2 linked regions of the Nothobranchius furzeri genome follow. The protein of the gene in region 1 purifies or fractionates together with the protein of each later gene. This does not show direct contact. Links are inferred from orthologs where the notes say so. Each region holds a gene or a part of one and is shown on either strand. Other genes may lie near its edges. The genes, in order: ptpn12 and pstpip2.

Region 1 (3,826 bases):
TGTTTGTTTGCAGTTGTGCCAAAAATTGAACGTGACCCCTGACCTAAAGTAGTTTAATCACATTTATAATTAATAAGGACCTTTGTAAGTAAATGGATTGATTGGAAATGTAAGTGCTCTGCCTGGTTGAGCTCTGCTGTGTTTGAGAACAGCCAGCTAAGCTTTTGCCTTCTGTCAGCCAAGAGACAATGTAATTGTTCTCCTCCCATTAAGTGAATGTGTCTTCATCAGTGTCAGCCTCTATTAGATTTGGCTGCACTAGACTTTAGGCTGCGTCACACATCAAAGGAGTGTGTCTGTGAGTCAGCGATACCTTGATATCAGTAGCATTTGTTTTCTTGGACTCGTGTTTGTTGCGTTTTTGATGAAGAAACGACTGATTTTATTCATCTGTTATTTAACCTAACTAAAGAGGAGAAGGTCTCTGATACTAATCAGAGGTGGCAGAGTTTGATGCTGATAAATGGACTCGTCTGACAAGTTGAGTCTGTTCTTTTCCGAGTTGTCTGATTCTTTTGACTTCTAAGAAAAATGAATGCACAAATCCGTTCCACCATTTGCGTTTTCCCTGCTGTGTGTTGACACATGCAAACAGATGTTATTATCTGCTAATAACTCCCCACATGTTTTTGTTTTGTTTTTTAGCGGTTACGACGGCTATCAACCAAGTACCGGACAGAGAAGATCTACCCCACCAACGTGGGAGAGAGGGAGGAGAATGTCAAGAAGAACAGATATAAAGACATACTGCCGTGTAAGATCTGGTTCATCGCCACTGAAGCTCTTAAAGCATTTCTGTTAATCTCATCAGTCTGCATTTCAGACTGATCCTCCAGCAGCAAACATGCTGTGTGCATTGGGTGTTGTGTCAGCAGGCTGTGCTTTATTTGACTTTTTATCTTTCCCTTTGCTCACATGTCTTTAGATGACGGTAACATTTTGTACACAGGTTTGATCTGAGCAGTGCTTCACAATTTAATCTCCATTCAGCCTTGTGTCCTGCAAGTGTAGCAGCTTTAAAATTTCATGCATTTATCCGCTCAGCTTTAAAGGTCACTGCCTGACTCCACAAATCCACGTTTAATCTAAAGTGATATCAGCACCTACACTGTAAAAAAAACAAGGTGGTGGAGGGGGGTATTAAAGCTAAAAGTGGAAAGAGGCCTGACAGTTTGAGGACGATGAGAAAAAATAACTGCAAATTCATACATTAATCATTTGTGTTTGTGTAAATGTTAACAGAATAAACACGGTGTTGTGTTTCTGCTGTACGCAACAACCTCGGGGATGTTCATGTGACCCAACATCTGTCCTAGTTTTATGTCTATCCTTTTCTCCACTTTCCATCCATTCATTCGTTAAAGCTTTTAGTGAATGGGCTGATAAATCAAAAGTAGGAGCAGGCTCATCCATAACAGATGGACCAGGAATGAGGATAAAACAGTTTCTCCGTTAAACTCTTGAGTCAATCATCATGTCCCTGTTTGCTCTTTTAACATTCTCTCATTCTGTGTTTCCCCATTTATCTCATTCTGATATTAATTTTGTGTTTTTCTCTCCACAGTTGACCACAGCAGGGTGAAGCTGACATTAAAATTAACCAATCAGGACTCAGATTACATAAATGCAAACTTTATTAAGGTAACAATCAAATTATATGTTTTTTTCTCTCAATTTTTGTAAAGTACACGATTATGTTGAAATGTCTAGTTTAAAACAGTCACAGTGCTTTATGTCGTTGCGTTCAGGGTGTGGATGGCCCAAATGCCTACATTGCAACTCAGGGTCCGCTGCCAAACACGGTCCTCGACTTTTGGAGAATGAACTGGGAGTATAACGTAGCTGTGAGTACGACCCCATGCAACACAGTCTAGTTGACATCTATTGGGAAATAGTTCATGAATATAACACTGTTAATTACAATGAAGGTGTTTTATTGATAAGTCTGTTTTTAGCTGTCAGATTTCGTTTCATTGCAGAGTTGGCTAATAGCACAGATTAATGGGAGTGCTGTTAGAGCTACCTACGCTGGTAACACACACAGTTACGTTTATAATTATTACATAGAAAAAGAAAAGTTCTGCGAGTTTTTTGGAATCGCTTGAAAAGAAAAACGTGGTGATGGTGGCAGAGGAGTTAAGTGCCCATCCCGTAACTGGAGGGTTACAGGTTTGAGTCCCGCCCAGTCACAGTCGTTGTGTCCTTGGGCAACACACCACTTCACCCACTTTGCCTGCTGGTGGTGGTTGGAGGGACCGGTGGGGCCTGTGTACGGCAGCGTCAGCTGTCAGTGAGCCCCAGGTTAGCAGTGGCTAGGATGTCGCTATCACCATCAGCGTGTGAATGGGTAAATGATTATGTTGTAAAGCACCTTGGGGGGTTGTAAAACTGTAAAAGGAGCTACAGGGAGCCTAAGTCACACCAATCTATTTTGGTCTATGGGTCTCCTACTGCACCATTTTCAGGAAGTAGACTGAGCCACTTCAGAGCTGAGCTTCAGACGACCGGATCTGAAGTCTTATTCTCTGATATTTGGACATCTCGCTTCTGATTGGATAACAGCAGCGTAACCCTATCCCCCGGCTCCATTTGCTCTGCAACGATGATGTTTTATATCCACAAATAAAACATGCTTGGAGCGTTTCTGCTATGTGGTGGAGTTGCTAATGCTAACTGGGAGGTTGTACTAGCCGAGACGTTCTCTGCTGTTTCCTGGGCGCAAAACCAAAAACGGCCTTCCCCGTCACGATGGGTGAGTCCATGAATGTTAAGTGACAGTGTGACATAGATCCTTCAGACTTTTCAAATCCTAGACTTTCACAATTTCACATTTCACAAAACTCAAGCGTGACTAATTATAATCAGAATCACTTTTTTCTGTCATTCAACATCCCCCTCTGCTCTTTAAGAACTAAGCCTATCCGTCACATCTCATTCCGCAATATCAAAAACATTAACCCAGTCACCCTGTCATCTATTATTAACACTATATCCATCCCTAGTTCTGCTTCTCCTGACCATCTTGTTTCTCATTATAACTCCACACTCCACAATATCTTGGATTTTCTTGCCTCTGTCAAAACTCTGTCCGTCTCCTTTACTAACTCTGCCCCCTGGTTTACCCCTGAACTCCGACAGATGAAAGCCAAAGGACGTCAACTCGAACGCCTCTATAAACGAACTGGTCTTGCAGTACCCAAAGAAATGCACAAAACTCATCTGCTTCAATACTTGGACTCAATTAAACATACAAAATCTGCTTTCTACTCTGGATTGGTTTCCTCCAATGAAGGCAACTCTAGGACTCTGTTCTCAATAATGCGCAATATTTTTCATCCCCCGGACTCTCTACCCCCCCCCCCCCCACACACACACACACACACACCTGTATTCTGCTGACTCATGTAACTCTTTATTAACCTTCTTTATTCAGAAAATTGCATCCATACACCAGCAATTAATTCCAAGTTCTTCCCCTCCCCCTGAGATTTTTTCACCCGGCCAGTCATTTTGTTCCTTTCTTCTTCCCACCTCATCCGAAATATCTGATATTATCTGTAAATCCAAGCCCACCACCTGCTCTCTCGACCCCCTCCCTACAGTTTTGGTTAAAACATGTCTCACCTCCCTTCTCCCTCTCATAACCGCCATAATCCACTCCTCCCTCTCTACCGGTATTGTTCCCTCACTTTTCAAAACTGCATCTATTACTCCAATATTAAAGAAACCCGGCACCGATCCCAATAATTTCAATAATCTTCGTCCCATCTCAAATCTTCCCTTTCTTTCAAAAATCCTTGAAAAAATAATCTCTGCTCAACTCCAT
Region 2 (3,826 bases), on another chromosome or scaffold:
TAACTCTGAAAGCTCAACTGGATCAAAACAGTTCAAACACAGATGAGGTTCTGCAGTTACCTCTGATGCTGCCTCACTTACTGAGGAAGAAGAAATTGCATTAGGGAGAATGCTAATGATTTTGTTTCTAATAGAATTAATTTTACTTGTGAAAAATCCCATAAAGTTATTGCTGATGAGGGCTAAGGGAATAGATGGTTCAGAGCTATGATTCTGTGCAAGTTTGGCAACTGTACTGAAAAGAAATTTTGGATTATTCTTATTCTCCTCAATTAGCGCTGAAAAATATGCAGTTCAATTTTATAGAAGCTTACTTTTATAAAGCACAAGACTATTTTTCCAGGATAGGTAGGACTCCTCCTGGTGTGTAGAATGCCATGTTCTCTCCAATTTTCTAAAGTTTTGTTTTAAAGTTCGCAAATGAGAATTAAACCAGGGAGCCAACTTCCTGTCCCTAATTGCCTTCTTTTTTAAAGGGGCAACATCATCGAATGCCACACGTAAAGAGAAAGTAACATTATGAACTAAAGCATCAATTTGTGAAGGGCTAGAGATACAAATATTGCCCTCTGCTACGTTCCTCTGAGATGCTGAGGACAGTAAAGATGGAACAGTTGATTTAAAAGATGCAACTGCGTTGTCAGATAGAGACCGACTATAGTGAAATTTACTTTCATGTCTCGAGAACTCGTCATCGTCGTCGTCTTCCTCCGCTTATCCAGGTCCGGGTCACGGGGGCAGCATCCCAACTAGGGAGCTCCAGACCGTCCTCTCCCCAGCCACCTCCACCAGTTACTTCGGCAGGACCCCAAGGCGTTCCCGGACCGGATTGGAGATGTAACCTCTCCAACGTGTCCTGGGTCGACCTGGGGGCCTCCTGCCGGCAGGACATGCCCGAAACACCTCCCCAGGGAGGCGTCCAGGAGGCATCCTGACCAGATGCCCAAACCACCTCAACTGACTCCTTTCAATCCAGAGGAGCAGCGGTTCTACTCCGAGTCCCTCCCTAATGTCCGAGCTCCTCACCCTATCGCGAAGGCTGAGCCCAGCCATCCTACGGAGGAAACTCATTTCGGCCGCTTGTATTCGCAATCTCGTTCTTTCGGTCATTACCCAAAGCTCTTGGCTATAGGTGAGGATTGGGACGTAGATCGACCAAGAGCCTGGCTTTCTGGCTCAGCTCCCTCTTCACCACAACAGATCGGCTCAGCGTCCACATCACTGCAGACGCCCAACCAATTTGCCTGTCGATCTCCCGATCCCTCATACCCTCACTCGTGAACAAGACCCCGAGATACTTAAACTCCTCCACTTGAGGTAGGACCTCTCTCCCGACCCGGAGTTGGCAAGCCACCCTTTGCCGGTCTTGAGAACTCAGTTATAAAATACTCAAAGGTTGTCAAAAAGTGGTCCGAGAGGACTGGATTATGTGGAAATATCGTTATTTCCTCACACTCTATCCCATAAGTCAGTACAAGGTCTAATGTATGATGGCAGGAGTGGGTGGAGCCATGTATTCTTTGGGTAAAACCAATTGAGTCTAAGATATTACTAAAGGCTACTTTGAGGCTATCATTTTCATTGTCCACATGAATGTTAAAATCCCCCACTACAATGACCTTATCAGTAGTTAATTAAATTGATGTTGCTGCTTTGCAATAAAGAATTCACTGCAAAATAATAAAAAAGACAAATCCAATATTTGGTTTTCCCACTAATAAATCAATGTTGATAATGTCCAATTATGATCTCTGGCTATACTTTATTTTTATTTTTTATCTTGAGTACAAATATATAATTTTTTCTCTTTTTTTGTTGTTTTTAGCACATTAAAAAGATCCCTCGATGTGTTAAAGTTGCGTAAGTTCCTAACATTTTTTATATTCACCTGTTTCTGCATATAATTCATGTAGATTTATAGATTTAAAAGATTTTTACTCTTCAGAGACTGAACAAGTGAGTTTAACGCATCTACAGTTGGCCCACAGCATGAGGGAGGAGGCCAAGAAGCTGGAAGACTTTAGAGAAAAACAGAAAGAAGCACGGAAAAAGGTTTGTACATTTTTTACAGGTGCTGTCATGTGTCATTTCACCCCATGTGATGTGAATATTTGACACTAGGATGTGGTCTTTTTATTTAGATAGAACAACAGATGGATGTTGTCCACAAACAGAAGTCTTCACACTTCAAGAGGACAATGGATGTAAGTAGAGATGTTTTCCTGATCATGTACCATTTTTGAAGTAAAACAAAAGCAGAAGTATTTGAGCAAAGTTGGTCAACTATTTAGTCATGCTGGCAGAGTTCCAGTCACATGTGAAAATGATGTCCTCCCCTCGCGTTCTTCCTGTTTGATAGAGGAACCAGTTTTGATCAAGAGGAAACAAAACATCCTCAAGAAAAGCCATTCCAATTATTTCAATCTATGGAAAAATGGAGAAGTAATTATAGGGGATGAATTTCCTCTTATACATGTGATGAGTCCTAACTAGGGCTGCAACAAACGATTATTTGGATAATCGATTAATCGAATGGGGTCTCGACACGATTAATCGATTAATCAGATTACATGGGGAAATTTTTAAAAACTGCTAGGGAAACGTTATTTCTCTCCTTCCTTCACTTTATTTAACACAACATTATTAGAAAACAGTTCAATAGCAGAAAAACAACATGCCATCACCTAAATTGTCTTATAAGGTGTATAGACAGAGACCCTAAGCTACATCTATCTGTGACCTAAAATGCTTGGTCCAAGTTAAACAGCTTAAGGGCAATTCTCATGTGTTTTGTTTGATCTCATCTGTTGACATTTATTTTAAATGTAATTAAACATAGGCTGTGAATTAATCAAAATTGATCACTATTTCCAAAATTGACTGAAAAAATACCAAATAAAGCAAAAGTAAATGAATGCCATCCTCCTTGCGATGATGCCCTGGGCAACTGCCATAAAGTCACATCAAGAAATGCTGCTGATCATTCCAATGATCCCAAATAGACTCACATTAGGCCACATGAAAGCAACTGAACCCAAAAATATATTAACCAGTATATAACTGCACTCTCACACAACACGCCTGCAGCAACAGTTAGGACTCCTCCCTCCCTTTTAAAAGCGTTTTTGCTTCTGAGGACATTGTGGTTGTAAAACCACACGCTAGTAGTCTGGCCCCGGTGTGATCAACCAGTTTCTGCGGGAATGTGACGGCGGAACCAGGGCCAGATTAACACTTTGTTGTACCCTGGGCAACAATATTCAAGGGCTCCATCATCACAACCCAAGGATCACCATAATGTGGTCACATACAGAATATTTTACTGTAATATGCAGTAAATATACTCAATACTTGAATGCCTGACAACACGTAACCTGCCCAGAGTAACCTTTGACCCACCTCGTGTGGACTGACCAATGAGGAGAGGGTCTTAACTTGAGGCCCTCTCTTCATTGGTCAGTCTGCATGAGACTGACTCTCAACTGACGTCTAGTCATAGGCAGCGAAGCGTCTCTGTGCAGCGCAAAAGCCCGGGTGGACAGTTTGTTTAATGTAGGGTGATCATATTTCCATTTCCAAACAAGAGGACAGGGGATCTGTGCCTATGACGTCACACTATGGCAACGCCACACAAACCATGTTGGGACCCATTTTTTGTAAGAACTAAATTAATATCAGATTCTGCCAATTAAAGGGCTCTAAAACAATTCATATGTAAATATTTTGCATATTTACTGCAAAATCTCATTTTTCTGCTTTAGTGCTGCAACAAGGTTTTATTAATAATAAATTATTATACCTTTTGTTTTACTACAGCATCGGTAAG

What was found.
Region 2: the proteins of ptpn12 (region 1) and pstpip2 purify together in Homo sapiens (affinity purification with mass spectrometry; 4 studies listed by BioGRID and IntAct, counting the BioPlex papers as one, with this or other methods). This does not show direct contact. The link is inferred for Nothobranchius furzeri from reciprocal best matches to the Homo sapiens genes PTPN12 and PSTPIP2.

What each region holds. Positions count from the first base shown.
Region 1 is NC_091741.1:48,550,392-48,554,217, reverse strand, and holds part of ptpn12 (tyrosine-protein phosphatase non-receptor type 12), read left to right. Parts: intron 1-645; coding exon 646-754; intron 755-1,564; coding exon 1,565-1,641; intron 1,642-1,748; coding exon 1,749-1,844; intron 1,845-3,826. UniProt on the Homo sapiens protein: Dephosphorylates a range of proteins, and thereby regulates cellular signaling cascades. Dephosphorylates cellular tyrosine kinases, such as ERBB2 and PTK2B/PYK2, and thereby regulates signaling via ERBB2 and PTK2B/PYK2.
Region 2 is NC_091746.1:59,932,993-59,936,818, reverse strand, and holds part of pstpip2 (proline-serine-threonine phosphatase-interacting protein 2), read left to right. Parts: intron 1-1,825; coding exon 1,826-1,860; intron 1,861-1,945; coding exon 1,946-2,052; intron 2,053-2,141; coding exon 2,142-2,204; intron 2,205-3,826. UniProt on the Homo sapiens protein: Binds to F-actin. May be involved in regulation of the actin cytoskeleton.